7 linked regions of the Macaca fascicularis genome follow. The protein of the gene in region 2 purifies or fractionates together with the protein of the main gene of each other region. This does not show direct contact. Links are inferred from orthologs where the notes say so. Each region holds a gene or a part of one and is shown on either strand. Other genes may lie near its edges.

Evidence for each region.
Region 1: the proteins of STX12 (region 2) and VTI1B purify together in Homo sapiens (affinity purification with mass spectrometry; 3 studies listed by BioGRID and IntAct, counting the BioPlex papers as one, with this or other methods). This does not show direct contact. The link is inferred for Macaca fascicularis from reciprocal best matches to the Homo sapiens genes STX12 and VTI1B.
Region 3: the proteins of STX12 (region 2) and STX6 purify together in Homo sapiens (affinity purification with mass spectrometry; 4 studies listed by BioGRID and IntAct, counting the BioPlex papers as one, with this or other methods). This does not show direct contact. The link is inferred for Macaca fascicularis from reciprocal best matches to the Homo sapiens genes STX12 and STX6.
Region 4: the proteins of STX12 (region 2) and STX10 purify together in Homo sapiens (affinity purification with mass spectrometry; 3 studies listed by BioGRID and IntAct, counting the BioPlex papers as one, with this or other methods). This does not show direct contact. The link is inferred for Macaca fascicularis from reciprocal best matches to the Homo sapiens genes STX12 and STX10.
Region 5: the proteins of STX12 (region 2) and VAMP3 purify together in Homo sapiens (affinity purification with mass spectrometry; 3 studies listed by BioGRID and IntAct, counting the BioPlex papers as one, with this or other methods). This does not show direct contact. The link is inferred for Macaca fascicularis from reciprocal best matches to the Homo sapiens genes STX12 and VAMP3.
Region 6: the proteins of STX12 (region 2) and SNAP47 purify together in Homo sapiens (co-immunoprecipitation; 3 studies listed by BioGRID and IntAct, counting the BioPlex papers as one, with this or other methods). This does not show direct contact. The link is inferred for Macaca fascicularis from reciprocal best matches to the Homo sapiens genes STX12 and SNAP47.
Region 7: the proteins of STX12 (region 2) and VAMP7 purify together in Homo sapiens (affinity purification with mass spectrometry; 3 studies listed by BioGRID and IntAct, counting the BioPlex papers as one, with this or other methods). This does not show direct contact. The link is inferred for Macaca fascicularis from reciprocal best matches to the Homo sapiens genes STX12 and VAMP7.

What each region holds. Positions count from the first base shown.
Region 1 is NC_088381.1:135,576,791-135,581,138, forward strand, and holds the start of VTI1B (vesicle transport through interaction with t-SNAREs homolog 1B), read right to left. Parts: upstream 2,901-4,348; 5' UTR 2,747-2,900; coding exon 2,632-2,746; intron 1-2,631. UniProt on the Homo sapiens protein: V-SNARE that mediates vesicle transport pathways through interactions with t-SNAREs on the target membrane. These interactions are proposed to mediate aspects of the specificity of vesicle trafficking and to promote fusion of the lipid bilayers.
Region 2 is NC_088375.1:207,290,329-207,294,922, forward strand, and holds the start of STX12 (syntaxin-12), read right to left. Parts: upstream 2,964-4,594; 5' UTR 2,851-2,963; coding exon 2,733-2,850; intron 1-2,732. UniProt on the Homo sapiens protein: SNARE promoting fusion of transport vesicles with target membranes. Together with SNARE STX6, promotes movement of vesicles from endosomes to the cell membrane, and may therefore function in the endocytic recycling pathway.
Region 3 is NC_088375.1:38,509,892-38,514,448, reverse strand, and holds the start of STX6 (syntaxin-6), read left to right. Parts: upstream 1-1,548; 5' UTR 1,549-1,803; coding exon 1,804-1,838; intron 1,839-4,557. UniProt on the Homo sapiens protein: SNARE promoting movement of transport vesicles to target membranes. Targets endosomes to the trans-Golgi network, and may therefore function in retrograde trafficking.
Region 4 is NC_088393.1:13,550,012-13,552,830, forward strand, and holds the end of STX10 (syntaxin-10), read right to left. Parts: intron 1,983-2,819; coding exon 1,875-1,982; intron 1,467-1,874; coding exon 1,360-1,466; intron 1,268-1,359; coding exon 1,173-1,267; intron 1,081-1,172; coding exon 1,004-1,080; 3' UTR 652-1,003; downstream 1-651. UniProt on the Homo sapiens protein: SNARE involved in vesicular transport from the late endosomes to the trans-Golgi network.
Region 5 is NC_088375.1:227,099,250-227,103,544, forward strand, and holds the start of VAMP3 (vesicle-associated membrane protein 3), read right to left. Parts: upstream 2,823-4,295; 5' UTR 2,735-2,822; coding exon 2,733-2,734; intron 668-2,732; coding exon 598-667; intron 1-597. UniProt on the Homo sapiens protein: SNARE involved in vesicular transport from the late endosomes to the trans-Golgi network.
Region 6 is NC_088375.1:85,660,911-85,665,478, forward strand, and holds the start of SNAP47 (synaptosomal-associated protein 47), read left to right. Parts: upstream 1-1,720; 5' UTR 1,721-1,885; intron 1,886-4,568. UniProt on the Homo sapiens protein: Plays a role in intracellular membrane fusion.
Region 7 is NC_088395.1:161,921,885-161,926,289, forward strand, and holds the start of VAMP7 (vesicle-associated membrane protein 7), read left to right. Parts: upstream 1-1,303; 5' UTR 1,304-1,434; intron 1,435-4,405. UniProt on the Homo sapiens protein: Involved in the targeting and/or fusion of transport vesicles to their target membrane during transport of proteins from the early endosome to the lysosome. Required for heterotypic fusion of late endosomes with lysosomes and homotypic lysosomal fusion.

The sequences.
Region 1 (4,348 bases), on a different chromosome or scaffold from region 2:
GGCTGGGAAGCCCAAGGCTGAGGGGCCTGATTCTTTCAAGGGCCTTCTTGCTACCCATGTGTCACCCTATGGCAGAAGGTGGAAGAGCAACAGATCAAGAGAGCAGGCAAGCAGGAGAGGGCTGAACTAACCCACTCTCTCAGCAACCAACCCACTCTCAGGATAACAATCCAATCCCTGAGGATGGAGCCCTCATCGTCTAATCATTTCTTATGGGTCCCACCTCTTAACACGATTAAAATGGCAAATAAATTTCAACATAAGTTTTAGAGGGGACATTCAAACCATAGTAATAATGAATTCAATTTTCTATTTTTCAAGCAATGTTCTTTTGCATTATTTAGCCTTATAGAAATGGGCAATGCAAAAATTAACTCAGTGCCAGGTTGAAAATGCAGTCTACTTTTTTTTTTTTTTTAGACAGAGTCTTGCTCTGTCATCCAGGTTAGAGTGCAGTGGTGCGATCTTGGCTCACTGCAACCTCCAGCTCCAGGGCGCAAGTGATCCTCCCACTTCAGCCTCCCCAGGAGCTGGGACTACAGGAACGCACCACAATGCCTGGCTAATTTTTGTATTTTTTGTAGAGATGGCGTTTCACCACGTTGCCCAGGCTGGTCTCAAAATCATTCAATACAGCAATAATCCTAACTCAGCTTCCCCAAGTGCTGGGATTACAGGTGTGAGCCACCACGCCTAGCCTGCAGTCTTTTCCTTTTTTTTTTTTTTCTGAGACAGAGTCTTGCTCTGTTGCCCAGACTAGAGTGCAGCGGCAGGATCTCGGCTCACTGCAACCTCTGCCTCCTGGGTTCAAGCAATTCTCCTGCCTCAGCTTCCTGAGTAGCTGGGACTACAGGCAACTGACACCATGCCTGGCTAATTTTTGTATTTTTAGTAGAGATAGGGTTTCACTATGTTGGCCAGGCTGGTCTTGAACTCCTGACCTCAAGTGATCTGCCCGCCTCTGCTTCCCCAAGCACTGGAATTACAGGTGTGAGTCACCGTGCCCTGCCTGCAGTCAACTTTTCAATCACATAAATCAGATCCCACAATGGTTCTGCACAATATATTTTAACTGCATCCCATCATATTTAGAAAAAGGCACAAGTCTTTCACCATGGTCCACAAGGCCCTACATGATCTGGCCCTGCCTACCTCTCTCCTTTGCTCACTTCATCCCAAACACATGGAACTTCCTGCTCTTCGTTGAACACACCAAGCTCATTTCCGCTTAAGGGCATTTGCAGTGCTATTCCCTCCTTCTGACACTCACTTCTCCCAGATTTCTGGTTTACTCCCTCTCTTCATTCAAGTCTCAGTTCAAATGCCATCTCCTCACAGAGGACTTTCACAACCGCCCTATTTAAAACTGAAGTCCCGAGGAAAGCGGATCGCTTGAGGTCAGGAGTTAGAGACCAACCTGGCCAACATGGTGAAACCCCGTCTCTACTAAAAATACAAAAAAAATTAGCCAGGGGTGGTGGCGCAACTGTAATCCCAGTTACTCCAGAGGCTGAGGCAGGAGAATTGCTTCAATCTGGGAAGTGGAGGCTGCAGTGAGCCGAGATCGTACCACTGCACTCCAGACTGGATGACAGAGTAAGACTCTGTCTCAAAAATAATAATAATAATAATAAAATAAAACTGAAGTCCCATCCCCTATTCCTTTACTCTTATTTTCCTGTATTCTTTAACACTGCCGCTTAATAGTTATATATTGTTTATCACCTACCCACTAGAATGGGGACGTGCATGTCTTTTTCACTGTAATTTGCAATATTCACCAGCACCTAGAACAGTGCCTGGCACACAGCAGCCTCACAATAAATATATATTAAATACATGCATTTCATTCTCACCAGAGTCATTCAATTCCTATGACCTTGAGTAATTCGTTGAGCAAACACTCAAGCTCTGATCCTTAAATAAAAGCAATAAAACAAAGTTTTGTCCTTGCCATCAAGTTCTACATATCCGGAGGCCAAGAACTATATATAGCAGGTCTTCCTATGGATCTAGGGCCGGAAAACTCTAGCTCCTCCAGACAAAACTTGTAGCAACCTGAACCATGAAATGAAGGGGTAGTAAATAGTCGCAGCAGTAAAAACGTTCAAAACAAGACCACATCTAAACGCCACCATAAGGTTTTAAAGGCCAGCTCTCTACCCTCCAATAACAGGTATATACCAACGCCCCAAATTATGACTCTTTTGGGTTTTTAACCCTTTTTCTGTGCTACAGATCCTCTGTCAGTCTGGTGAAAACTAGACCTGTCTTGAGACTAGTGCTTCTAAATGCATAAAACAAACAAAAACAGCTACGAAAGAAACCCACGCTACATTACAGGACCGCAGATGTAAAAGCCCCTCTGCTCTGTTTGCCGCAGTGGAAAAAAACGAGAAAATGTGGAAGGCCATAGAAGGAACCCAGGGAACTGAACCCCGCGTCCCTGGGCGCGTCCCCAATTCACTCTCAGTGGCAGGGAGACCCGGGGTTGCGACCCAGCCAGCCCTAGGGGGCGTGTCTGAGGACGCGGAGGAAGGAGACGCGGGCCCGGGTCTGGGAGGAAGGTGGGGGAAAATTCCAAAGCGCGCGGGGCCGCGCTCCCCACGGCGTGGCCCACCCGCGCCTCACCGGTCCCAGCAGTCCCCAGCAGCCGCTCGGGCACCCCTTGTAGGTCTTCATGGAGGCCGCGGAAGATCTCGTGCAGCTTCTCGAAATGCTCCGAGGAGGCGGCGGAGGCGGCCATGGCGCAGGACGCGCTCGAGCAGCGGCCACCCAGATTCGGGGCTCTGGGCCCTCTCCTAGCCCGGCGGTCAGCCGCCCAGTCCCGTGGCCATAACGGCGACCGCCGCACCACCGCTGCCCAGGACGAGGCTCTTCCGGGGCCGCAGAAGGGTCCTCCCGAGCCGGAACGCCCACCCTCTCTAGCCCGTGATTGCGGGAGCGCCGGCGCGAAGGCCTGACGGGAAGGCAGCAGACTGCGCGGCCTAGGCGACTCCTGAGGGAGCGAGCGGGGCGAATGGTAGTCGCAGAGCCCGAGAAGTGCCCGGTCCGGGGTGGGGAAAGGCCGCAGAGAAAGGGCCCTAGGGGACCTGCGGGACGGGCAGCTCGGCCGCCTTCCTCCTGGGCCCCGCCGGCCGGCCAGGGGCGGGCGCTGCAGTGCACGCCGGGGGATGTAGTTTGACTCGGAGAGCGTCTGGTGCCGGAGTCGCGCGTTGCCCGGGGTGCCAGGTTTAGCCCGCGAGGCGACAGCGGGCTTCGGCCCGATTTGATGTGTGTTTGCGTCTAGACGTCGTCCTCACTGTCATCGCGCTTTGCTTTGCCACCCTGACCCGAATTCCGCATTTCGCGTTTTGACCGAATGTTAGCTTTAGGCCCTGGAAAGAGCCGGGCCGGGGGCTCTGCCTGCAGTCGGGAGGTGGAGCACTTTTCCTGGAAGGCCCAGCGGCTCCCCAAGCTTTCAGAAGTGGAACTCGGCCGGGCGAGTGGCTCACGTCTGTAATCCCAGTACTTTGGGAGGCCGAGGTGGGAGGATTGCTTGAACCCAGTAGTTCGAGACCAGCCTGGTCACAATAGCGAGAGCACTACCGGAAACCCAAAATAGGAGCCGGGCAAGGTGGCGCGCACTTTTGGCCCCAGCTACCCCGGAGGCTGAAGCAGGAGGATTACTTGAGTCCACAAGGTTGAGATTGCAGAGTTCCCACCACTGCACTCCAGCTTGGGAGACTTTGCTCCCAAGTGGAGGGTGACCTTGTCTCCAAACGAACCCAAAAAACAAAAATTCAAAAGTGGAACCCAGTTAGGATGACCTCGAAATACTCTAGCTGCTAGGCTGCCTCGTGCACTTGTTCACAACAGGTGTTTGTCAAGCGTAGGCATTGCGAGGGATCTGGGCATGTTGGTGAATAAAACATTTACTCTCTGCTCCGGGGGAATTTATAATCTGGTGTGGAAGGTGGGCCTGGCTTCATTAGGTCTCATCTGCCACTAAGTGTCACTTGTTAACAATTACAAGGTCCTTTCCTGCACTCCATGGGTATAAATGCCGGTCTTCAGGTTGGGCATGGTGGCTCAAGCATTATCCCAGCACTTTGGGAGGCCGACGCGGGCGGATTACTTTAAGTCAGGAGTTCGAGACCAGCCTAGCCAACACGGTGAAACCCCCATCTCTGCTAAAATCACAAAAATTAGCCGAGCGTGGTGGTGGGCGCCTGTAAATCCCAGCTACTCGGGAGGCTAAGGCAGGAGAATCACCTGAACCCGGGAGGTAGTGGTTGCAGTGAGCTGAGATCATGCCACTGCACTCCAGCCTGGGTGACAAAGCAAGATCCTATCTCAAAAAAATTAA
Region 2 (4,594 bases):
TGGTGAAACTCCATCTCTACAAAAAATATAAAAATTAGCCAGGCATGGGCCAGGCGCAGTGGCTCATGCCTGTATTCCCAGCACTTTGGGAGGCCAAGGCAGGTGAATCACGAGGTCAGGAGATCGAGACCATCCTGGCTAATACGGTGAAACCCCGTCTCCACTAAAAATACAAAAAATTGGCCGGGCGCGGTGGCTCAAGCCTGTAATCCCAGCACTTTGGGAGGCTGAGATGGGCGGATCGCGAGGTCAGGAGATCGAGACCATCTTGGCTAACACGGTGAAACCCCGTCTCCCAGCTACTTGGGAGGCTGAGGCAGGAGAATGTAGTCCCAGCTACTTGGGAGGCTGAGGCAAGAGAATGGCATAAACCCGGGAGGCGGAGCATGCAGTGAGCTGAGAACCGGCCACTGCACTCCAGCCTGGGCGACAGAGCGAGACTCCGTCTCAAAAAAAAAAAAAAAAAAAAAACAAAAAATTAGCCGGGCGTGGTGGTGGGCGCCTGTAGTCCCAGCTACTCAGGAGGCTGAGGCAGGAGAATGGTGTGAACCCAGGAGGCGGGGCTTGCAGTGAGCGGAGATTGAGCCACTGCACTCCAGCCTGGGCGACACAGCAAGACTCCATCTCAAAAGAAAAAAAAAAAAAATTAGCCGGGCATGGTGGTGCACACCTGTAGTCCCAGCTACTTGTAGGGCTGAGGCAGGAGGACTGCTTGAGCCAGGGAAGTTGAGGCTGCAGTGAGCTGAGATCATGCCACTGCACTCCAGCCTGGGTGACAGAGTGAGACCCTGTCTCAAAACAAAAATTTAAATGTAAATTTAAAAATGTATGTCGGATCTACATTTGGGAGTATTCTGGTTTTATATATATATATATATATATATCAGCATGTATATAATATTCATTCAACATGTATCCATCTATCCATCTTCATGTGTATATTATATATTAAATATAATATTATATATGATATATATAATATTGAATACAAGTTGAATGAATATTTTGCAAATAGATATTAAAATCAGATTTAGCTTCAACAAGAAAATTTCAGCCTTGAACTAGAATTTTCTGATCTAACCTGTATTACAGCTCCTTCACAAAAGGAAACTGGTACAAAAAGTACTACACTTTCTAACCAGTGGTCATATTATTTTTTTTTAGTTCTGGATTTTAAGAGGTCACATACCCTTCCTTTCACTTCCAGAGTCTCAACTGCTTTTGATCAGAAACTTCTCAAATTCTACAATATACATTTAGATTTAAAAGCAAAGTGAGCCTGGGCAACATAGTGAGACCCCATCCCTACAAAAAATTTAAAAATTAGCCTGGCATGGTAGATGCATCCTTGTAGTCCTCGCGACTCAGCAAGCTGATCAGGAATTCAAAGTTATAGCCAGCTAGGATCGTTCTACTTCACTCAGATCACTGCACTCTGCCTGGGTGACAGAGCTAGACTCCGTCTCTTAAAAACAAATTTAAAATATTTAATTTTTTAAAATTAAAAAAATTAGGCTGGGCACAGTGGCTCACGCCTGTAATCCCAGCACTTTGGGAGGCTGAGGTGGGAGAAGTGCTTGTGCCCAGGGGTTTGAGACCAGCCTGGCCAACACAGCAAGACTTCATCTCTACAAAAAAGAAAAATTTTTTAAAGTTTAAAAACTAAAGCAAAGTGATATTATTTAAAATACAGAATTGTAATTCAGGACTAACTAGTTCTACCTATTAACAGAGTACACCAAGCTCACAAAACACAATAATAAACAATAAGGATGATGACCACCATTCTTTCCAAGTAAAGCTGTTGCTGATCTCCTGTTTATAAGGCTCCAAGATGATTTTCAAGCCCAAGAAACACCCTGTATTTGACTCATTCAGCTATAGTTTCACTCAGACCCTAATGGGGAGGAGGGAGTTTTAAGACAAGCAATACCATTCTGAATTCCACCAACAACTCTACCATGCATTACTTGCTCTGTGGTTGTGGCTAAGTCTCTTAGCTTCCCTGTGTACCAGATTTGTTCAAGAGCAGCTAAGTAGGGAAGGAAAACAAAAGCCTCATCTGCCTGAAATCCAAAAATACACCCCAATGCTTTGTTACAAAAGACAAAATAATGTAAGTTGAAATGTTGCTGGTGAATTATCTTTATTAAAACAGAAGTCATCCCACCTCTCAAATACCAGTCATTGTGTCTGATTTCCGAATTCATTACAGGAAGAACTGTGTATGAAGTCATCCAAACACATGCACTCTCCACTTCCCTTAATTGAAAGTTGCTGATTTCCGAGGAGCCAGGGGCTGAGCAGAATGTAAACCTAAAGCCTAAATCAGTAAACAACCCCATCCAAACTGGCCTAAGAGGAAAGCGAGGTGGGTGGGGAGGAAGGTGGATGACAGGAGAAACTCGGCTGACCACTGCGCCAAGTCAACGCACTCACAGCTCTCGAGATGACACACACTCCCCTTCCCACCCTCGGGCTGTTTTGGTCCCAGCACCGTGGGGGCAGAACTCCAGAGAAGCAGCTCAAGCTTCAGCTGGGGCCGGGGACCCTCGGGCAGCCCGGGCCTGACAGACTGGGGGAGGCAAGCCCACCGCCCCCAGGGTGGACAGCCCGAGACAGCCCCAGGTGTGGCCTCGGCCGTAGTCCCAGCCGGGCTCCGCGACCCGGCAGTCTCACCCAGGCCTGTCCCGGGGACAGCTCCCGCCCCCCAGCTCGGTACCCCGGCTCACTGGCTTGGCTGATCCGCTGGATGTTGCCGCTGCACGTCTGGATGATGCTGCTGAAGTCCCGGAGCTGGGGCCCTGAGGGCCCCAGGTTCCGGTACATATCTAAGGGACCGTATGACATGACGAGGAGCTGAGACCTGCTCGCCCTACACCACTCTCCTACCGGAAGCAGCCGCCAGCCGGGACCCGCAGGCTGACGGAGAAACTGGGAAGACCAAGGGCGGGGAAGAAGCTAAGGCTGCGTGCGCACTAGTCCCGCCCCCACGCAGCGCGCACGCGTCCTCCCCGCCCCTGTTCAAAGTGCGCAGGCGCCGCTGGGACTGGGGCTGGGACTGTATCTTAGAGACAGGACTGCCCGGGGCTTGGGGGTTGCGGGGCGGAGAGATGACGTCACCTAGTTGGGGCTGAGATTGGATGAGCTTGGGTGGAGGTGTTGTTTCTCGCCAGGGCACATTGACAAGAGGCAAGAATTTTCGATTTGCATAAAACTGTACCAGATGATCTCAGCCCTTACATCCTATTCTGTTTTGAGAATTCAGGCCCAAATATGGGAGTATTCAACGTTGAAACTCAGACCAGGAACCAAATCGTAACCCGAAATTCCTCTCTACTTCCATCCCCAGGGTTTTGGTAGTATTTGGGGTTTCCAAACCGCTTTCATTTCTCCCTCCACCCCTCTTCTAATCTAAACAATAAAATAATAATGTTTATTAAGCACATATTATGTGTGAATCCTCACCGCAATTCACTTGTTCATAAGATTTTTCACAGCAAGGGACGATGCTCTATCTACATTTTTATCATTAGAATAGATAACGGAGAGCCGGTTTTTTAAATATTGAAGTAAAGTAACTCATCAATGTTAGCATTATTATTTTCCCTATTACCGATGAGAAAATTAAGACCAGCGAGGTTACTTCGCCTTGCTGAAGTTTGACTGCAAAAGCCAAACGCTAAGCTGACTCTCTCCTCACCTCGCTACTTCTCTAAAATTCATTCTCATCGAAATCTCTCCCAAATAGCTCGTTCATCTATATCCCAAGCCGGGATTTCTTGGAGAACTAGATTCCTAAAATTTAAAAATCATACCCTTAAATACTTTGGAATGCATGACCTCAATTTTCCTACAGAAGACTGCATTTCTGTAAGCGTATGTTAAAAGGAAAGACATAGGATTTTGGTTTGGGAGGAGATCAAGATGGTGAGAAGTGAAGGGGAACTGGCTGTTTCCTGTGTTCTCCACCCCACCCCAGCCTGCTTTGCAGTCTTTGGAAAATGCAAAGACGGAAAGCTGCTTGCCTGGGTGAAAGGAGACCCCAAGTGAATGAGCCTGTATATGGCCTTAGGGTTTTTTCTTTATTTTATTTTATTTTTTTTGAGACAGGGTTTCGCTCTGTCACACAGGTTGGAGTGCAGTGGCATGATCTCCGCTCACTGCAACCTCCTTCTCCTGGGCTCAAGAGATCCTCCTACCTCAGCCTCCAAGTAGTTGGGACTACAGGCGTGCGCCACCACGCCCAGCTAATTTTTATATTTTTTGTAGTGATGGGGTTTGGCCATGTTGTCCAGGCTGGTCTCGAACTCCTGGGCTCAAGTGATCACCACCAGCCTTAGGATTTTTTAAGGGTGGCTATCTCTATTTTTCGTTGGAGAATTTGAGAGCATTTTTTTCCCTCTCTCTAGAAAGAGATGGATGACATCTGGGGGCTCTTGTTTTGGTTATTTTATTTTATTTTTGAAATGGAGTCTTGCTGTGTTGCCCAGGCTGGAGTCGAATGGCGCAGTCTTGGCTCACTGCAATTTCTGCCTCCTGAGTTCAAGCAATTCTCCTGCCTCAGCCTCCCGAGTAGCTGGGATTACAGGCA
Region 3 (4,557 bases), about 170 Mb from region 2:
CAATCGCTGTCATCCTGGTCTGGCCCTCATCCCTTCACGCCACATGACCTTAGCAGCGTCCTTACTGGTTTTCCTGACTTCAGTAACTTAATCCTTTGGGATCTTGAGGTTTACACGCATTTTTATTTAACTATCACAACAACCCATGAACTAGCTATTATTATTTATGTTTTATAGATGAGGAGCTGAACGATAGAGCCAAGGTTTAAACGGGGTTTGTGTTGCTCCAAGGACTGTGCCATCTCCAGACTGGTGACCTTGGGCAAGTCACTTACCCTCCCAGAGTCTCAGATTTCTCATTTATAAAATGGGCATGATGGCAGTAATTATCGCACTGTAAGAGCAACCGAGATAACACTTAACACCCTGCCTGACACACACACACTAAGTGCTCAATGATTTTCAGCAATCAAAGTCCACAATCCTCATCCACAAACTCCACAGCATATCTAGCATATGAGTTGGCTAAGGTTCTGGGCAAAATGTTTTCTAGAATAGTCCTTGAACCACAGTGAGAGGAAGTTGTCATACCTGGCCCCTTCTTTATTCCTTGTAGGTGCGCTCTCCTGGGAGGCACCATATGCTGTATGAAAAATTACTTTACATGGTTATTTGCAGAATGTACAGCAACATAAAGTACACCCCATCTGGTGGAAAGTGCACAGAATCTGCAGTTCTGCTCTGTCCAGGCTGTGTGACTACAGGAAGTCGTGAAGCCTCTCTGAACTTATTTTCTCATCTACAAAATGGGAGAAATGGATGGCGTAGGGGCTCACGTCCGTAATCCCACCACTTTGGGAGGCAGAGGCAGGAGGGTCTTGTGAGCTCAGGTGTTCGAGGCCAGCCTAGGCAATATACTGAGAGCTCTATCTCTACAAAAAATTTAAAAATCAGCTGGGCGTGGTGGCTCTCACCTGTAGTCCCAGCTACTCGGGAGGCTGAGGCGAGAGGACCGCTTGAGCCCAGGAGGTCGAGGGTGCAGTGAGCTGTGATTGTGCCACTGCACTCCAGCCTGGGTGACAGAGAGAGTCCCTGCCCCCCAAAAAGGGGAAGGAGGGGAATAATACCTTCCCCCAAAGAATACTGAGATGATGCATACACAACTTTTTAGCACACTCTCCAACACAAAGTAAGACCCTACTTGAAGGAGCTGTGTAGCATCATAATCAGATACTATGCTTCATTTTAAGTCGAGGACCAGATAGATTTATAAATTACATACTGTCAAAATCAAGTATTAAAAGTAGAGGAAAGGTAAGAGGATTTTGCAAAACAGGTACAACTACAGTTTATCCTGAAAAGCCGACTGCCTACCTCTGAGGGAACAAGCCGCTCTTCACCTTCAAGCCTGAGGAGAGGGCGGTAGAAAGCCGCCCACCTCCTCCGCCCCGAGGGCTCCGCCTCCAGGGCGGAGGGACGCAGGCCCAGGCCCCGCCCACTGGGGGAGGGGCAGGCCCTGATCACGTGAGTGGGGTACGGAAGTCGTGCTTCAGGCGGCTTTCGTGATTGGCCGCAGCCGAGGGTCCTGGGGGTGGGGTCAGGCTCTCCGACTCGCCGGGAGGAGCCGGGACTGGAGGCTGCAGAGGGGGCCGGCTCTGGAGTCCGGGATTCGGCCAGTGGTGCTGAGCGAGTGCTGGACCAGCGGTGGTCCCGTGCACCTGGCCTGCGCGCGTGCCCGCTGCTTGGCGTCCCCCAGTCTAAGGCGCGGGCGGCTGCGGGAACAGGCCGGGTGGGCGGAAGGAGGCCGGGAGGCACGGGCGCTCTGTGCGCGGTGGAGGTGGAGGCGGCCGGGGCCGGGACGCCATGTCCATGGAGGACCCCTTCTTTGTGGTGAAAGGGTGAGTGTCGGCCGAGGGCTCCACTGGAGGAAGAGGTGGCGGTGCTGCCTGCCCGCACCTCCTCGGTCTTCTCGCAGTAGGGGGAGGGGAGGCAAGTTGGAGCTGGGGAGGGGTCACAGTGGAGACGGCTTAGTCTTGAGGGCCATGACCAAGCGTCCAGAGACGTCTCCTGCATCCCTACCTGGACGGTGAAGCCACTGTCCCCAGCCAAGCCCCTGGTGGTGGTGGGGCCTTTTTGGCCTGTGCGCTGCGGTACAACTTATTTGGGGGTCGAGGGGCTCAGCAGCTCTGCAGGTGAGAAGGAGACACGCAGGTCCTAGCTCACACTGGCCGTCTATTCGAGCATGGGACCTTGCTTCGAAGGAGCGAAAACAGCATCTGGGCAGGAAAAGGGAAATGGCCCTCCTGAGCTTTGTAGTTCGTGTTGACGGGGGTGAACTCCATTGTCCATTGAGTTTGGAGCGCTCGTCCGCAGGACTGGCGAGACCACAACAAGCCCAGAGGCGTCTGAGCACGTTTGCTGGGAGGGAGGCGGGGGCGGGGGCTGATCTGGGAGGCTGGGGAGCAGGGCACAGGAAGACAATTCAATGGGGGGAGTTTTTACTGAGTAATGTGAGGAGAGGAAAGCAGTCGTTCATACTCAGTGATGATTTGGAAGGAAAACAAAATGAAACAAGCCAAACCAAACTTTCCTCAGCTTTCTATTAGCAACCGGAATTTTCTCACAGTGCTAAAGGAAATGAGTGTTGCTTGTTAACTCCTTGATATCATCCAGGCTGTTTGACAGGTTTCTCCTATTTCTTCTGCCTTTCAGAATAGAACTGCCTTCTGTTCCCTTGTAAGCTGTCCTAACTCCATCTTGCTCGATTGTTTCTTTGGAGATAGAAACTTCAACTGCACTTTGTAATATCCACTTTGTAGCCATTAAACAAATGCAAGAAGATTAATTCTGATGTAACTTTTAGTTTCTTATTAGAAACGTGTCAGTTTTCTGTTTTAAATGTCAAACATGAAAAATCTGAAAACTGCAAAGTTCCCAAATCAGTACTGATCACAGAATGTCCCTTGCTTTTAACGAGTTGCTGCTAGCTTCCTATTTTTGTAGTGGTACAAGCTGGCTGTTGTATACTCAAGTATTGTAGAAAATTTAAATGGCATTTTAGGTGAAAGATTTTATCGATGATGCAGTAAAATACACTTATAATATTTCTTAACATTTCCCTGGAAAGGTCTTTTTCTTCACCTTACTCTAATTTAGATGGGAAAATGCTGAGTTGTAGATTTACTGGTAATATGTGACTTCCTACCTGGAAAATGTGATATTTATTAGAAGAATTGATTAGGGGTTAATTTTAAAAATGTGTTTTTTCCTTGATTGAAAGTTCTTAATGCTTAGGTTGGCAAAGGTTATCTCTGGCAGTGGAGATCAGAGATGATCAGAAATTTTTTGTTTGACTTTTTATGGAATTTGTCAAAAGCCTAAATTCTTCTGCCGTCGTGGCATTTTTTTTTTCTTGACGGTATCCAATACAGTCGTCTAATGCTTGTTCACTGATTAAATATCACTACTTTATTGGAACATTGGTTCGGAGTTTTGATTGACTTTTACATCATTTTAGCTCCTGTCTTTAAGGTTCTTGAAGGAAAAGAGATTCTCAGTACCTTCTACTGTGGAAAGGTAAAGTCACCCATGAAGGTGTATCCAGATTTTTTGGGAGTCATGCACCTGTGTTTATTAAAAGTATCAAGAATGCATTACACAGCATGGAAAAATTAAAGATGCCTAAATTATGGCCTAGGAGCTTCTAGTCTAATCTGAGAAACAAATTACCCCAAAATTAAGTAGAAATGACAGGTGGCAAATGAATGAGTGTTGAAGTGAATGCTGCAGATGATGAGTGCCCCAGGAGTTCAGAGAAAGGCATCTCCTTGGGAATTGTTAGGATTAGGAAAGCTTTTGGAGGCAATAAGTATATCTTGAATTACGTTTTGAAGATGGGCAGAATTTAGATAATCAAGCCTGTCTCTTTTATCTGGATGCTTATCAAAGAATCTTTTAATTGTTCTTCCTGCTTCTGGTCTCATTTCCTCTTTCAGCTGTCCTGGGATCTATTGGATCAGTGCTGTCCAATAGAAGTATAATGCCAGCCACGTACGTCATTTTACATTTTCTAGTAGCCACAGTAAAATAAAAAGGAACAGGTGAAATTAATTCTAATGTAATCTCTAGTACATTCAAAATATTCGACGTGTGATTAATACAAAGATTGATGAGATATTTTACTTTTGCACTAAGTCTTCTAAATCTAATACATATTTTACACTTACTGCACATTTAAATTTGGACATTAAATTTTCATCAGAAATAATTTATCTGTATTTAAAATTCATTAAATACTCTTTTTTTTCTTTTTTTTTTTTTTTTTTTGAGACAAGAGTCTCGTTCTGTTGCTCAGACTGGAGTGCAGTGGTGCAATCTCGGCTCACTGCAACCTCTGCCTCCCAGGTTCAAGCGATTCTTGCGCCTCAGCCTCCTGAGTAGCTGGGACTACAGGTGGGTGCCACCTCACCTGGCTAATTTTTGTATTTCCCTGCTAATTTTTGTATTTCCTGGGTAATTTTTTTTTTTTTTTTTTTTTTTTAGGACTACAGGTGGCCGCCACCATGCCTGGCTAATTTTTTGTATTTTTTAGTAGAGATGGGGTTTCACCATGTTAGC
Region 4 (2,819 bases), on a different chromosome or scaffold from region 2:
ACAAATAAAAAATTAGTTGGGTATGGTGGAGCATTCCTGTAATCCCAGCTATTCAGGAGGCTGAGGCATGAGAACCGCTTCAACCCAGGAGGCAGAGGTTGCAGTGAGCCGAGATCACGCCATTGCACTCCAGCCTGGGTGACAGAGCGAGACTCCATCTCAAAAATAAAAATAAAAATAAAAAGATCAAGAGAACCTAAGCCATTAAAAAAAAAAGATTCACCTGGGCGTGGTGGCTCATGCCTGTAATCCCAGCACTTTGGGAGGCTGAGGCAGGCAAATCACTTAAGGTCGGGAGTTTGAGACCAGCCTGGCCAACATGGTGAAACCCCATCTCTACTAAAAATACAAAAATTAGCTGGGTGTGGTGGCACATGCCTGCAATCCCAGCTACTTGGGAGCCTGAGGCAGGAGAATTGCTGGAAACCAAGAGGCGGAGGTTGCAGTTAGCAGAGATCGCACCACTGAACTCCAGCCTGGGTGACAAGAGTGAAACTCTGTCTCAAAAAAAAAAAAAAAAAAAAAGGAATCCGGAACACGCACGCGTGCACAGACACACTGGGGCACTTGTGCAAGCACTGGCTTAGAATGGGAGTCCCAATCAGGGCTCAGTCATGCATTTTGCAGTCAACACACACCACACGACACAAATACGTATAAAAAAGGCTGACGTTTTATTTCCAGGTTGGCACATGTGTAAGGCACAGGGGCGAATGGCTTTGGGGTCCCAGAACTGGAAATGGAGAGGGGTGTGTCTGAGGTGACGCTGCCTCTACCACCCCCTAAGTGCACTTGAGACAGGACCAGTGGTGGTGGTTTCGGCCCAGGGTCCTGAAGGGTACCACTGGCTCTGGGGGGGAGCCGTGGGGACAGTTCCCCAGGCAGGAACCTCTACTTTCCAGCTACCCAGGAGGAACCCTCTCCTCCTAGGGGGCTAGGCCAGCTCCAAAGTGCTTGGTGGCTCCCCAGGCTTAACGGACCAGCCTGCCAGGGAGGGCTGGGGTCAGAGAGAGAAAAGTAAGATAAGAACGAGGAGAAGCACCCCCACCAGCACGGCGATGGCACACCACTGTCGGCGGTCTGGGAACGAGAAGATCAGAGGTCACCGGGGAAGAGGGTACCACCTACAACCTGCCCCCACTAGGACTGACCTCGCCCCCAAGGGGACTCACCACTCGTCATGTGGGATACTTTGGCCAACTTCCTGAGGACCCCGTCCATGCGGGACTGGGTGTGGTCCATCTCTTGGGCGAAGGCATCCAGCATGCTGCCAAGAACAGGATGGCATCAGCCCCAGACGGCCCAGACACACCAGGGTGGCCGAGAGACCCTGGCCCACCCCCAGGGTCCTGGCCTCACATGCCCTGCTCGTCCAGCTCTTCCCCAACGCGGCCGGACATGTGCTTCAGAACCTGGATGCTCCCAGACACCATCTCCAGCTGTTGATCCTGTTCGTCCATGATCAGCTGCAGAGCGAAGGGGTGGGAGGTGCTGTTGAAAAGGACCCCAGAAGGCCAGGCGCGGTGGCTCATGACTGTCATCCCAGCACTTTGGGAGGCCGAGGCAGGTGGATCACTTGAGGCCAGGAGTTCAAGACCAGCCTGGCCAACATGGTGAAACTCCAACTCTCCTAAAAATATAAAAATTAGCCAGGCATTGTGGTGGGCGCCTGTAATCCCAGCTGCTCAGGAGGCTGAGGCAGGAGAATCGCTTGAAGCTGGGAGGTTGCAGCGAGCTGAGATCACGCCACTGCACTCCAGCCTTGGCAACAAAGCAAGACTCCATCTCAACAACAACAACATAAAGGGACCTCAGACCTCAGATCGGTCTGCAAGACTCTCCCCTCCCTGGATCCACCCCACCGGCCCCAAAACCTGCTGTGTGGCCTGCTGCTCTTCGATGTAGCGAGACGTGGCCGAGACTGCACTGGCATCCAGCAGGTCGCTGAGTGACTTCTGGGGAGCTGGCTTGCCTGCCAGGATCTGCAGGGGCACACAACATAGGCTCGGGGAGGGACCCCAACTCCCAGAGGGGCATGGGGGACAAATCCCCACAGTGGTGAGTCAGGGAGGCAGACTCTGGGGCAGGAGAGCCTGCATTCCCCACTCACCACTTACTAGCAAGGTGACCCAGAGACCCCGTCATTTGACTTCCTTGTGCCTCAGATTCCTCATCTGTAAAATGCAGAGAACAGGATGGGCACGGTAGCTCAGGCTTGTAATCCCAGCACTTTGGGAGGCAGAGGTGGGCAGATCACTTGAGGTCAGGAGCTTGAGACCAGCCTGGCCAACATGGTGAAACTCTATCTCTACTAAAAGTACAAAAATTGGGCTGGCTGCAGTGGCTCATGCCTGTAATCCCAGCTCTTTGGGAGGCCGAGGCAGATGGATTACAAGGTCAAGAGTTTGAGACTAGCCTGGCCAACATGGTGAAACCCCATCTCTACCAAAAATACAAAAAGTAGTCAGGCGTGGTGGCGGGTGCCTGTAATTCCAGCTACTCGGGGAGGCTGAGGCAGGAGAATTACTTGAACCTGGGAGGCGGAGGCTGCAGTGAGCCAAGATCACACCACTGCTCTCCAGCCTGGGTGACAGATTAAGACCTTCTCTCAAAAAATAAAAAAATAAAATAAAAAATAATAACATAACATAACATAAAATAACATAAAATAAAAAAAATACCAGGTGTGGTGGTGCACGCCTGTAATCCCAGCTACTTGTGAGGCTGAGACAGGAGAATCACTTGAACCTGGAAGGTGGTAGTTGCAGTGAGCTGAGATCACACCACTGCATTCCAGCCTGGGTGTCAGAGTGAACTTG
Region 5 (4,295 bases), about 20 Mb from region 2:
AATTTCTCAATCTTTTGCTGTGGTTCTCCACATACAGTGCAGAACAAAAGATGAAGGTCCTCTAGCTCAAGAATTCTACAAATAGAGATTTGCTGGGCTAATGGAGTTTGACAGTATCTACTTTGTGTGAGTCAGTGGACAGCCATTAGAGATGAATTCTACAGAGAGGCTTGCTCAGGCTGGATAACTAGTAAGTGGACAAAGCATTTTGATAAAAAATCTGATCAGAAGAACTGGTCTTGGCTTGAGCAATCTAAAGACCTAATCCTAACATTGTATTATCCTATTTTATAAAGTGGTTCTTGGGGAATACACTCAGGGAGTGGTGTTCATGTTTTAAGCATATGATTTTTTATTTTTCCTGAGCTAAATGTTATGAGCAGGTATGTGATTCTACCACAGGAAAACAAGCATGAAACCTAGAAAGTCTGACTTTTGCTTAGATCTTCCAGCACAGCAGGGAGCAAAGTTTTGTTACAATTATGATACAGTCAGAATTTGCTTTACATTCACACTTTCATGATACTTTTTCTAAACAGATTTCCAGAGTGCTCATACTTGTTTAAAATTCATATTTCCAACATTTCAGAGCAATACCTCATCTACTTGATTTTGTGTCTGCTGAAGTCTTCGATTACTGCCAGGGGCAGCAGTTGGACCTGTAGACCTGGAACATGTAAAGGCAGGAGCATGAGTAAATTATGATTCCAAATACATTTTCTTAAGTATAAAGAAGTTACTCCAGGACTCTCACTGTTAACAATTTCTTACATTAGAACTAAAGCAGAAAAAGAAATTCTTCCTGAAGCAATGAACAAAAGTTTTAATTACATTTCTTCTAATTTCTCTATAATTTCCAAGACTGTCCCACCTACTAAAGGGACAAACGTGAAGGTTTAATAGGACCTACTTTGTATCCCTGAAGTATCTGATCCCACGACAGGTAAACTCTACTGTCCTTTTTTGAAACTTGTTCTAAGGCACACATCTGCTTGAACGTACTCAGTACTCTCCTGATCTTTTCATTGTGGCAGGAACTGTTTTCATAGTTATAAACAGTTATAGAATGCCCTTTTTCCAATATAGAAAAATAGATTAATTTACAGAAACAGAGTCAGGAACACTGGGATGCAGGGAGCGGTTGGTGTGAGTGGAAAGGTGTGTTGAAGCAATGCTTCCCCTTTTAGGAAGGTACTCTTTTTTTTTTTTTTTTTTCCTCTTTTGAGAGACGGAGTTTCCCTCCTGTTGCCGAGGCTGGAGTGCAATGGTGTGATCTCGGCTCACTGCAACCTCCGCTTCCTGGGTTCAAGCAATTCTCTTGCCTCAGTCTCCCAAGTAGCTGGGATTACAGGCATGCACCACCACGCCCGGCTAATTTTGTATTTTTAGTAGAGACGGGGTTTCACCATGTTGGTCAAGCTGGTCTTGAACTCCTGACCTCAGGTGATCCATCTGCCTCGGCCTCCCAAAGTGCTGGGATTACAGGCATGAGCCAGCGCGCCCGCCCCGGGAAGGTACTCATCTTTTAAAATCTTCATCAAAGGCTTTATTTCTCCTCATGCAGATCCTTCTTAACCACTCTGACTCTGAAGTCATTATTGGCTCCATTACTTGGAAAGTATCACTTTGGTTTTTCAGGTATAAAGTCCTGCCTCCTCGAATAGATTACAGGTTCCTGGGTCTTCTTACTCTCTTCTCTGTATCCTAGATAGCACCTAGCATGTACCTTAGTATACAACAGTCTGATGGACTGTTTGAACAGTCACTTTACATCTGTCATGTGTCAATGACCAGGGCTACAACAGATCTCATCGCCGTCCTCACAGAGTTTAGTGTCTGGTAGATAAGTAAGGACCATGCCGTGGTGCTAGACTCTTTTCATGCATTTTCTCCTTCAACTCTCATAACTCTCTGAGGGGAATATTACTCCCATTTTACAGATAAGTAAAGTGAGGTTTAAAAAGTCAACACAGCTGGCTGCCGTTCAGATTGTTTTTAGATCAGGTCCTGTGTACCTGGGATCTAGATCTTAACCACTGTGATCTATTGACACAGCAGCCTCAGCAGGAACATTCGAGGGGGGGTCCCCAACTCCTGGAAGAAACCCGGGGCTTCCTCCGACGGTGAGCAATGAACAGAATGGAGGTGGAAGAGAGGGTCCTTGTGATTCTTAACCATGAACATTCTCTGAGCGTTACCACTGGAAGCACCGGTTTGCAAGGGCCACAAGAGCGCTTTCGCTTAAGAGTGCGAAGGCCCACGGTTAAGTGATCTTTCCAGTGCAGATGCCCCTAGCCAGGCAAGGAGCTCTTGGGCCCACAGGGGCTCAGCACAGGGCCGAGGTCCTTTCTTTTGCAACTTCCGGGGCCCAACTGGGCCGAGAGCCGGCCCTCCCGAACCAGGGCAGTCGTCCCCGTTCCTCTCCGGGACCTCTGGGACTAGAACGGGAAGGGGCGAGGAGCGGGGTGCGGGCGGGCAACTCACTTCCTCCGGGAAGCGCCTCGCCACCCCGCCCTCGCCCCTTCCGCGTCCGCCCCATGGCAGCGGAACCCGCCCGGGCCGTCTGCAGCCCGCGCCCCAAGGGCTACCGCCCACCCCCAGGCCTCGGGATCCCCGCGCAGCCCCGGCCTGCGTCCGAGCGGCGGCCGGCGGCAACTGGGCGGTACGGCGATCCCAGCGCGAGCTGCCGCCTGCGGGGCCCGAAGCCGCCCGCGTCGCGCAGCGTCACTCACATTTTGGCAGCGGCGGCGGCGGCGGCGGCGAGCGAGGGTCAGCAGAGCAGCGAAGTAGGGACCGGAGGCCAAGGAGATGGGCGGAACGGCGCGACTCCGGGCAAAGACGTCACTAGGCAGGGCCGGCGGGAGTGGGCGGGGCGCAGAGGGGGCGCGCCGGAAGTGGGCGGGGGCGTCGTGGGCGGGCGCGTCGTGGCGGGCTCGTCCAGGGCGGGGTCAGAGCGAGATGTCCACTCCCTGGACTAGGTCACTTGGGAACTTGAGGGCCACAGGGGTCCCAGGGCGGTCCGGGCTCTGAAACGCAGAGTGCAGGTCAATACAGCTTCCTCTCTGCACCGCGGCCCGCGCTGGCGCTTGGGGACGTGGTCTGCAAACGTGGCGCATTAGGCACTGGCTGGGGACTGTGTGGATAAGTGAGGGTGGGCGCAACTCATGTTATTCTGGGCTCGGGACCATTTCTCTCTAACAGTATTAGAGACAGATGATTGGCTTCTGCTGAATGTTCCAGATTAACCTAGTGATCCCGAGGGCACCATGTTTCTCTGAGAAAGTAGTTGAAATAGGAAGTCCATTTCAGGTATTTGTCACATGGGGTTGGGTTAGGTTCCCGCTCATGTTTTCCTCGGTAACACAAATATTTGTCCCTGCAGATCATATTATAATCTGCTTACGAGAGCCTTGGCATCAAGACTGTAGTTCCTTCATTTCTGTATTTTTAGGCCCTAACACAGAATAGGTCCTCAGGTTTTGGTCGAAGGGAGGGAAGCACAAATCTGAACGCAGTGAGTTACCTTGTATATATTTGTCACTGAAATATTCCTACCAACACAGTTACCGACATCAAAAAATAAAACACTATAGGTGTTTGGTCATTGGTGGGTCTCTTAAATGAGAAGTGAAAAATACAGTACTTAAATACTATGCTGTTTTTTCCAACTCTAAATAGAATACTTCGAAAAGGGAAACATTCGTATATATTCGAATAAACGAGACTGTCACAAAGGCGGTGGGATTTGAGCTGGGTACTAGCAGAAAAGAACTTTCCAGTAAGGGTTGGACAAACACCATGAACAAAGACAGCAGTGAAAATGGACGCAGTGTGCACAGACCACCTACAGGGTGCAGGTTGGGTACAAGTGAAAAGAAGACTGAATAAAGAGGGTAAACAAGAAAAATGTCATTTGATTGTAGTGGGCCCTGGAAACCATTGACTCACGGACTTGGGAGATCCGTGCTGCACAATTTCTCTGGCAGTAGCGGCCAGATGGATCAGATGGAAGAGGGAGCACTAGGGAGATAAGGAGAGGCTCTGCAGTGAAAGGGAATGGAGCAGCGATGACACAATACTCAGAAAGGAGGACGTTCGTCATCGCTGGAAAATGCCTTTTAGAAGACTTTCAGAGGATTGTAACTGAAAAGGTGAATTAAATTAGTGTCTATCTTTCAAATAACTGCACTGCCTTACACAAATGATTGATATGTTGAGAGGCGCCTGGAAAGATAGGTGAAAAGCTCTCTGAATGGTGGCTGGAAGACATTTTTTCTTTCATGGACCTAGCTGAA
Region 6 (4,568 bases), about 120 Mb from region 2:
TGCCCAAGACCTCTTTCTGGTTTTCTATTTTCCTGGTGCATGCCCTGCCTTGTTCAGATTCCAGTATCCTGTTAGAAATGCTTATTCCCCAGTGCCACAAACAAATAGCACTCGAACATAAACTTAATTCTCTCAGCAAGGCCATTTTTACTTTCTCTAAGTAACGGTGCTCCTTGCAGATGGAACAATGACGAGAGCACACTTGAACAAAGGAAAAGCAGACATATTTATCCCTTACACATTTGGGTCATCTTTCTGCTGTGTCCTGCATCCATTGGCTGAAGCTGGACCTCACAATCTTAAACTGAACCTGATTTGCTAACAACCTGAAACTTTCGTAAATAGGTAAGTGCAAGGGAGAACAAAGGAGAGAAAATTGCTTATGAAAGGTTTAAAGAAGCAATAACATTTCCAAATAAGGAAGGGGAATAAGCTATGAACTAAGACTTGCAAGGGCCTGTCCGGACATGCCGGACATGCTTTGCTTAAGGCAAAGCAACTAACTGGGCTAAAGTGTAAGAACTAATAGTTGATGGGGGCTTTAGACTAAGAAGCTATTATTTCTAGTGTCTATTATTTTATTTTTAAACTAAGACGAGCTCTGAAGAGGAACTTATCTACTTTCCACACTCTCTTATCCTACAGTTGACCCTCAGTGACTCCATTCTGTGGAACCTGGAAGCTAGCCTTGATCTTCCCAGGGCCCTCTTGCCCCTATGAAAGGAAAGTAAATCTCAAGACCCTAAACTAAATAAGCCAAAGTGAAAAGTCAATCTGGAAACTGGGTCACATAAACCTGCCTCCCATTTTGTGTCTAAATAAGATAGCTACAAAGATTAAAAAAAAAAAAAGCATCGCACCTCTCTCACAATTTGCCCACAAATTGTGGGCCCCAAGATTTTTACCCAAAAACAGTTGTTTCATTTCACCCTGACAATGTACATTGATAGCTTATATTCACAGGTATGCAACAAAGGACAGAACTCAAAGTCATCCCTCTGCCTGAAATATATGCATATCTGATTGCTTCCTCTGCCCTATGTTTATTTTATCTTATGTAAAAATGCAGATTCACCAAGCTAGACAAATGTGTAAGTGACTATTTCTCTACCCGCCCCCCACATGTAAATTGTGTATTCATTGAATCGCTGATCAAAGACTCAAAAGGATGCAACCACTTGCCTCTTATTTACTCACACCCTTTTCAAAATTTCTTCCTCAATCCCCAATACCCACCCTTTTCCCTTTAAATGTTGAGGTCCCCAGATTCTCCTTGGAAAAACCATGGACCACAATTTTCCCTGTGGTTCTGTATTCTTTTCTGGGCACATCCTTAACCTTGGAAAATAAACCTCTTAAAATGATTGAGACTTGCCGTGGTCATTTTTTTTATTTACACCTCAAACTTGGAATCCCTAACCCCCCTTCCTCAGACACCTGGACCCCAGGGACACAAGGGTAGGGAAGGGTTTTGTTACTGGGTTTCTTAGCTGGGGCTGCAGGGCCCGTGCTTGCCACCAGGGGGCAGCGGACCCAGCTCTGCTCAGAAGGCACCTGAAGCCAGGGAAGCCCCAGGGTCATCCTGGCCCCCGCGGCCCGCCCTGCCTGCCCCTCCCATCCCCGCCCCACCTTGCCCTCCCGCCCCTCCCCTCCCTATCCCGCCTCCTCCCCGCCTGTCCCTCCCGCCCCCACACAGTGCCCGACCGGAAACTTCCCACCTGGCACTGCCGCCAACCAAAGTCATGAGGGCAAGACTCCGGTTCCTGCCCTCACAGGGTCCCAGAAGCAAAGGCAGTGAGGACCTGGCCCACGTCCCTGCTGCAAGTCCCTGGCACGGGGCGTCCGATTCTCCTTCGCTGTGGCGGGAAGCTGGCCGGATTTGAAGGTAACATCCAAGACCCCGATTCCCGACACGGGGCAGAGGCCAGGGGACCGGTCTAGGGAGCAGGCAGGCCCTGCCTTGGGGCCGAAGGCCTCCAATGGGAGCAGGCACGCATCTCTGAGTGGGGCCGCGGGGGTGGACACTCTGGTGCCTTCCTGCAGGGGAGGGGGTGGCAGGCTACAGAGGAAGGCCAGGATCCACCGGCCTCCGGCTCCCTAGGCGGGGCCAGAGGTCCAGGCAGGGTCTGTTTGGGGCCTGGGGCCCCAGGTGGGGTCTATTTGGGGTGTGCTTATGCAGGATTCTACCCGTGGATTTTCCTCTAGCTTCAGGACAGGGTCTGGCTCTCCCAGAGGAACAGGGTAGGAGCCCAGCTCCAGCTGTTTTCCTGTAGGTCAGAGCCTGCAGTGGGAGGGTAACTGGGGCCTGTGGAAGGGGACTTCTGGGGTCAGCCCCCAGGCAGGAGAGAGAGGCCCAGGTCCCTGGAGTTCCTGCCTCCAGGGCTGCTGAGTTTGGGGGTACAGACCACAGGACACTGGACATCTTGCTCCCTACCCTTGGCCAAGCTCAGGCCCAGGGCTTAGGGAAAAGGACTGTCCATGCTCCTCTAGTGGCCCAAGGTTGTAGCCATTGGCATTGACCACATGACTGACCACCTGGGCTAGGCCAGGGTCTCCTGGATCAGCCCTGCAACTCTGAGGATGATGTCTTTCCCCACCCCACATCCCCTCTCCCCTTCCCTGGACAGGTGGGAGGGAAACCTGTGAAGCCAGGGCTTGGAAATGAAGCCTTCTATGCCAGTGGAAGGAGTCACTGACTTGGAAACCAGGGCCTGCCTTCTGTCTGCCTGGGGATCCAAGATGCAGCTGGTAGTTGCAGTTGGGTGGGACGCTGGCACCATTACCTGCCACAACCACCCACAGTGGTGGATGGGGGACAGGGCTGAGGCTGACACTCTGGAGCATGGATGAACAAAGGGTAGGACGTGGCTATCAGGGATGCCCTACACCTGGGATGTGGGCTTCAGGGTAGCTGGCCAAGGAGTTGCCCCTTCTGCTGGCTCAGTGGGCAGAAGGGCACAAGCATGAGGATGGTCTTGGTCCCTGGGGGAGACACCTTCTCTGGAGGCCACAGCCCTCTGGATGCAGAGAACCTAGCTTCGCCACAGCCAGCAACGACTTGACTTGGGGCTCCTGTCTCTGCCTCCACGGATTCCAGCCAATCACAATTGCAAGCTCAGGGCAGGGCAGGCACCCATAGGCCCCATCATGCTCCCTTGCTCTGTGTCCTCCCAGGCTAGAGTCTGTGCAGACACAGCAGGGCCTGACTTTTCCAGCCTTCCTGTGGGGGCCCACAGGTCCCACTCCCCAAGGAATCTCGGCCACTGCACGCCCTCACCCAGGCATGGTGGGGTGCACAGCCATTGTCCCCACACTTGCAAGTATATCCATCTTTGTGCAGCAAACACGTAGCCTTAGGTCGAGCATCTGCATTGTTTATCTGACCCCTTTCCTCTGGAGCACCAGTTAGCTGCAGCCTGCCTGTCCTTTCTCACACTTGATAGGGATGACACGCAAAGGGCAGGGCCTAACTGCCACACATCTGCAGCTCCTCACCTCGCACTCCAGGCAGCTGGTTCTCAGGGCGATGCAGCCTTTCAGGCTTCTTGCAGAGGTGCGATTCACTCTGCAAAGACCCTCACATGTGCTGACAACATGCCTCCCCAACCCTGGACAGGATCCCAGGGCAGCATACTTGGGAAAGGGGCATCCGGCCTGATACTTCAAACTGCTGTCTAGCCACACTCTGCGCAGCGGCTGCCCCACCACCCACCTGGCCCTGGTGTCAGCATTTTTGTTTTGTTTTGCCAACCTGGAGGTAGGCAAAAGGAGTCCATGGTCTTTGAGTATGGAGTCATCGATGCCAGCTGCAGTTCAGCCGTTGCCCTGCGGAGGGCTCTATCTCCCCCACAGAGCTTCTAGCATTTGCTGCTTTGCTGCACCTGTAACAGCCCCGGCCTGAGATTCTCAATGCTTGCTTTAAGAAAAAGTGACTGAGGCTAGCAGGGCTCTCGGGAGTGTCTGTGCACTGCCTCCTGACTGCAGAAACACGAGGGTCTTCACACACAGTTCAGGAGCGCAGGACCACGCACGCAGCCTGGATGGTAATGGGCTGCGACCTGTGCTACCTTGAGCTGCCAGCTCGCATTGGGGGCTGCCCTGGGGTCCTCAGTGCTGCCCTCATCATGAGAGAAGCTGAAGGACACCTGGTGCCCACCACCTGGTGGTGCCCCTCCCCTGCAGGTGCTGGACCTGCTGCTCAAAGGGGAGCCCCAGCTCAGGCAGAGGCACCTCAGCTGGCTGCTGGCAGTGCCTAGGGCACATACCCCAACCCTTGGCCTCAGCCTGTGTGGTAGGTGCCAAGAGGCCCAAGCTCAGAGGTTACTGGAAGGGCTAAAAGGGTGTGCTACGCCCACACTCAGCCTGGGCCTGGTCCCGGCAAGTCTGCAGTCACGCATATTTGCTACCTCCCCCTCCTCCCCCACAAAGCACCTTTGCCACCTGTGGTTTGGGCAGTGCCAGCTCAATCTGTAGGAGGCCGGATGATGTCTCAGGGCATTTCCGTGCAGACCAGGGGTCCCTGGGAGCTAGCAGGGGGGCCCAGCATACAGGTCCCTGGAAAATTGGTG
Region 7 (4,405 bases), on a different chromosome or scaffold from region 2:
AGTGTGAAGAGTAAGAAGAGAAGATGGCGTAGGGCAGAACCCTATGGAATGTGAACATTTCAAAAGAAAATGAAGAGCTGCCACAGAGGTGGGAGGAGAACCAGGAGGGTGTAGTGTCTTGGAAAGAGCTAAGAGAATAAAGGGGTTCAAAAAGGAGGGAATAAGGGCCTTGTGCGGTGGCTCATGCCTGTAATCCCAGTACTTTGGAAGACTGAGGCGGGTGGATCACGAGGTCAGGTGTTGGAGACCAGCCTGGCCAATATGGTGAAACCCCGTCTCTACTAAAAATATAAAAAATTAGCCGCATGTGGTGGCACGCGCCTGTAATCCCAGCTACTCAAGAGGCTGAGGCAGGAGAATCACTTGAACCCGGGAGGCAGAGCTTGCAGTGAGCCAAGATCATGGCACTGCACTCCAGCCTGGGCAACAGAGTGAGATTCTGTCTCAAAAAAAAAAAAAAAAAAAGGAATAATCAAAGTAAAATCCTACAGAGTTGAAATATGGTAATGGCTGAAAATTATCTATTTGTTTTAGCAACACTGTTGAGAATTTTGTCTGTAAAGGAGAGGTAGGAGAAAGACCACTAGCTTTTCTGTGTTTGGTGAGGGGGCATAGGGTATGGGGTTAAGAAAGGTGACTTTGGAATGTTTTAGATGAGAGAAATTTTGACAGCCTTTAAGTCCTGATAGTAAAGAGCCAGTTAGCAGAGAGCCGTCGAGGAGTCATGCAACAGCAGGGTTCATCAGAGGAGCTTGACTCTGAGTCAGCAACAGGGAATAGGGATGGAAGAGGGCTGGCTTAGATCAAAGGAGAGTAGTCGTTTATTATTATTATTATTATTATTATTATTATTATTAGTGCAAAAAGAACAGGAGAAAGGATTGGTGAGAGGTACAAGAAAATTAGAAAATTTCATGGCGAAAGTAGAGGCAGCTCCTGTCAGATGAACTCTATTTTGTCTGTGAAGAAACAGGCGACGCTGCCTACAGAGACTAAGCAGGAGAGACGGGGCCAGCTTGGTTCTTCATTTATGCCGCCCACCATTGCTGGTAGATTCTTTATCTAGCCTGCATCCTCTCATTTTCCTGGATCCCTATACGGCGTTTGACGCTGTTTACCACAAGAAATGTCGAACGAACGTGAGACACTCAGGGATACTCCAGTCGGAACTACTACTCCCAGAATGCAGTACGGCTCCTGGGAAGTGCGGGCAGCTGGGAACGCAGCAGGCCTAGCCCTGTCGCCTGCTGCCATTGGAGGAGCGCTCCCACTCCCAAGAGGCCACGCGTAGGCGGGGCGCTTCATGCGGAAGTCGGCGGCGTCCGGTCCCGGCGTCCGGTCCCAGCCTGCTCTGGGAGCTGGCAGTTGGCGACACTTCGCTGACCCGCGCCCCTCGGTCCCGAGCCCGCGCGCCCTTAGAGGGTGCCCGGACAGGTAAATGGAGTGGGGCGCGCTCTGCGGGAGGCGAGGAGAGAACTGCGGGGAGAGGGCGGAGGCGTAGACGGAAAGGTGCTGGGGTGGAGCGAGGAGGCAGTGCAAGGGTGGCTTGGGCTTCTCTGGTGTCGACAGTTTCAGTTGTCGGGCAGGACCAGTTTTGGCGTCTTATGCCACTGGAAAGGCTTCGAGTTAGAGTGTCAGAATGCGTCACTTAAGCTTTCATTACAGGAGGGAAAAAATGTTAACTTTCTCTCAGTTTGCATTCTACAAGACCTTTCTGTAGCATTTAAATCTCTTGAGATCCCCCGAGTCTTCCAAAAACTCTCTACGTCCTTGTTCCATGACGTCACTTTCTGCTTCACCTTCTACTTCTGGCTGTTTATGCTCCTTCGTGGGTTCCTAGCCCCTTATTCGCCCTTCCTCCACTGATCAGTATTGACAGTCCCCTTCTTCGTCTGTTCAGGAACTGTATTTCTGACCGACCCGTTTCCTCAGCTTCAGACCTGTTTGGTGTTTTTATTAGTGGCCAATGTTTATCAAATTCTGACCGCGTACTTTGGTAAATGCTTTACATCTCCCCCTCCCATAACTCTCACAAACAATCAACTGTCTTCATTCGGCCTCATTAATTGCTTTCAACTACCTGTATCTCCATTCTCCCTCCATTGATCCCAGAGGATACAGTCATGTTTGGCATATTAATTCCCTTTGAATACCTGTGGCTGAGAGCAGATCCATTCATATATTTAACAAATATTTATTGAACGGCTGGTATATGCTCGACACTCTTTTAAGTGCAGGGGATACAGCTGTAAATAAGACTTAAGAGGTTGCTACTCTCAGGAACTTACATGTTTGTGTCTAGAGGGGAAAACAGGAATAATCGGGATTATGTTATATATTGGTTAATGCGAAATAAAACAGGTGGTTGACTTGAAAGGGTAGAATCCTATCCTAAGAAAGTCAGAGGGATCGGACTGGGTCTCAGAGCATCGTCCAGAAAGAATAGTTGTAATACCAACAGGAATAATCTTGATCTGTAACATGACTTTTCATAAACACCTCTTCTTTTCCCCTGTCTAAGCAGTGTTTATTCTTCATTCTTCTATCTCCTCCAAGGTTGTTGCATCAGAATTCATGGTTTATCTATAGTTGGTTTATTCCTTATAAGACCCAGAGAGAAGAGTGGGGGATTGAATTACTATTAGCTCAACTGCTTTATCTTACTGAGAAAGATAGTTTGGTTGTGAAAATATTATTCTTACCAGGTCCTTCTGAATATAAAGTTATCTACCATTTATAGTATATTTAAAACCAAAATATGCTCAATGTTCACTCATTTATTCAACAAATATTTGAGGAAATATTAGATGGTAGGCACTGTGCTGAGCACTGGGAAAATAGGGTAAAATAGACACTTTGAGCTCTCTTCCAAGGATAAATAATCCTAACAGTATACTGAGGAAATTCCTAAGACATAGGCTGACACCTACATTCCTGTTCTTCATCCAAGGTGAGATCATCACAAAACATTAAGACATTTTCTGAGCAATTGTGGACATTCTGAGATTATTCACTTATTATTCTTTATCGCGTTTATTTATATGTCTTTCCCCATTGTTCTATGGCTCCCTCAAGTATTGGAATCCCTTCTTCCTTAACTTTATACCTCTAGTGTCTACTTTGACTGTCATATAGTAACCTGCCAGTACATACGTGTTGGATTGAGATAGAAAGACTCCCTATTTGATCAAATTTAAATGACATGATTTATACAAGGCCTTCTTTATGTAAGGCCATCAGCCATATTCCTCAACCTTCTCATTCACCAAAGGTGGACCATTTCATCTTATCAGGCTAACTTATGTACCTTCTTTACTTTGTTCTCACCTCTATGCTTTCTCGTTCCATCCATCCCTCCTAAAATGATCTCCTATCTCTTCCCAGGCACCTTGTGTACCTCCCTCCATTAATTTAGTGGGCCAGTTAGTTTAATAATCTGCTCATGATATAAAGGTGGAAAAAAATTAATTTCCTTTTTATATTTCCTATGAAACATTCTGCCAATGAACTCTTGCAAGAATTAACATAATAGGTCCTCCTGCAATAATATAAATAATGATACAGAATACTTTTTAAAAATTTTGCATTGCTTATCACCATGTGCTATGTAATGAGTTAATTGTACTACTTTATTTGAACAGTTGTATAACCTCTGTTCACACAGCATGTTTTGGTATCATTTGGTTTCTACTTGGTAGAAACACATCTTTTTTTGTTTGTTTTGTTTTTTGAGACGGAATCTTGCTCTGTCACCTGGACTGGAGTGCAGTGGCGCGATCTCGGCTAACAGCAACCTCCACCTCCCAGGTTCAAGCAATTCTCCTGCCTCAGCCTCCTGAATAGCTGGGATTACAGGTGCGCACCACCACGCCCAGCTAATTGTTTTTTGTATTTTTAGTAGAGATGGGGTTTCACCATTTTTGGTCAGGCTGGTCTCGCCACGCACCTCGGCCTCCCCAAGTGCTGGGATTACAGGCATGAGCCACCGTGCCTGGCCAAGAAACACATCTTTGAGTATTACTTTCTCCTTCGCCTGAGATAATTTAAGTGGTAATGTTATTCTGCCACATTGTTATTTTCAGGATGTCAGTTAAAGTCTTAAGTATTAAAATTAAAGTTTTTTGGTTTTTTTTTTTTTTTTTTTTTTTTTTTTTTTTTTTTTTTTGAGGCAGAGTTTTGCTCTTGTTGCCTAGGCTGAAGTGCAATGGCATGATCTTGGCTCACCTCAACCTCCATCTCCTGGGTTCAAGCAATTCTCCTGCCTCAGCCTCCCAAGTAGCTGGAATTACAGGCCTGCGCCACCACGCCTGGCTAATTTTGTATTTTTAGTAGAAACAGGGTTTCTCCATGTTGATCAGGCTGGTCTCGAACTCCTGACCTTGAGTGATCCACCTGCCTCGGCCTC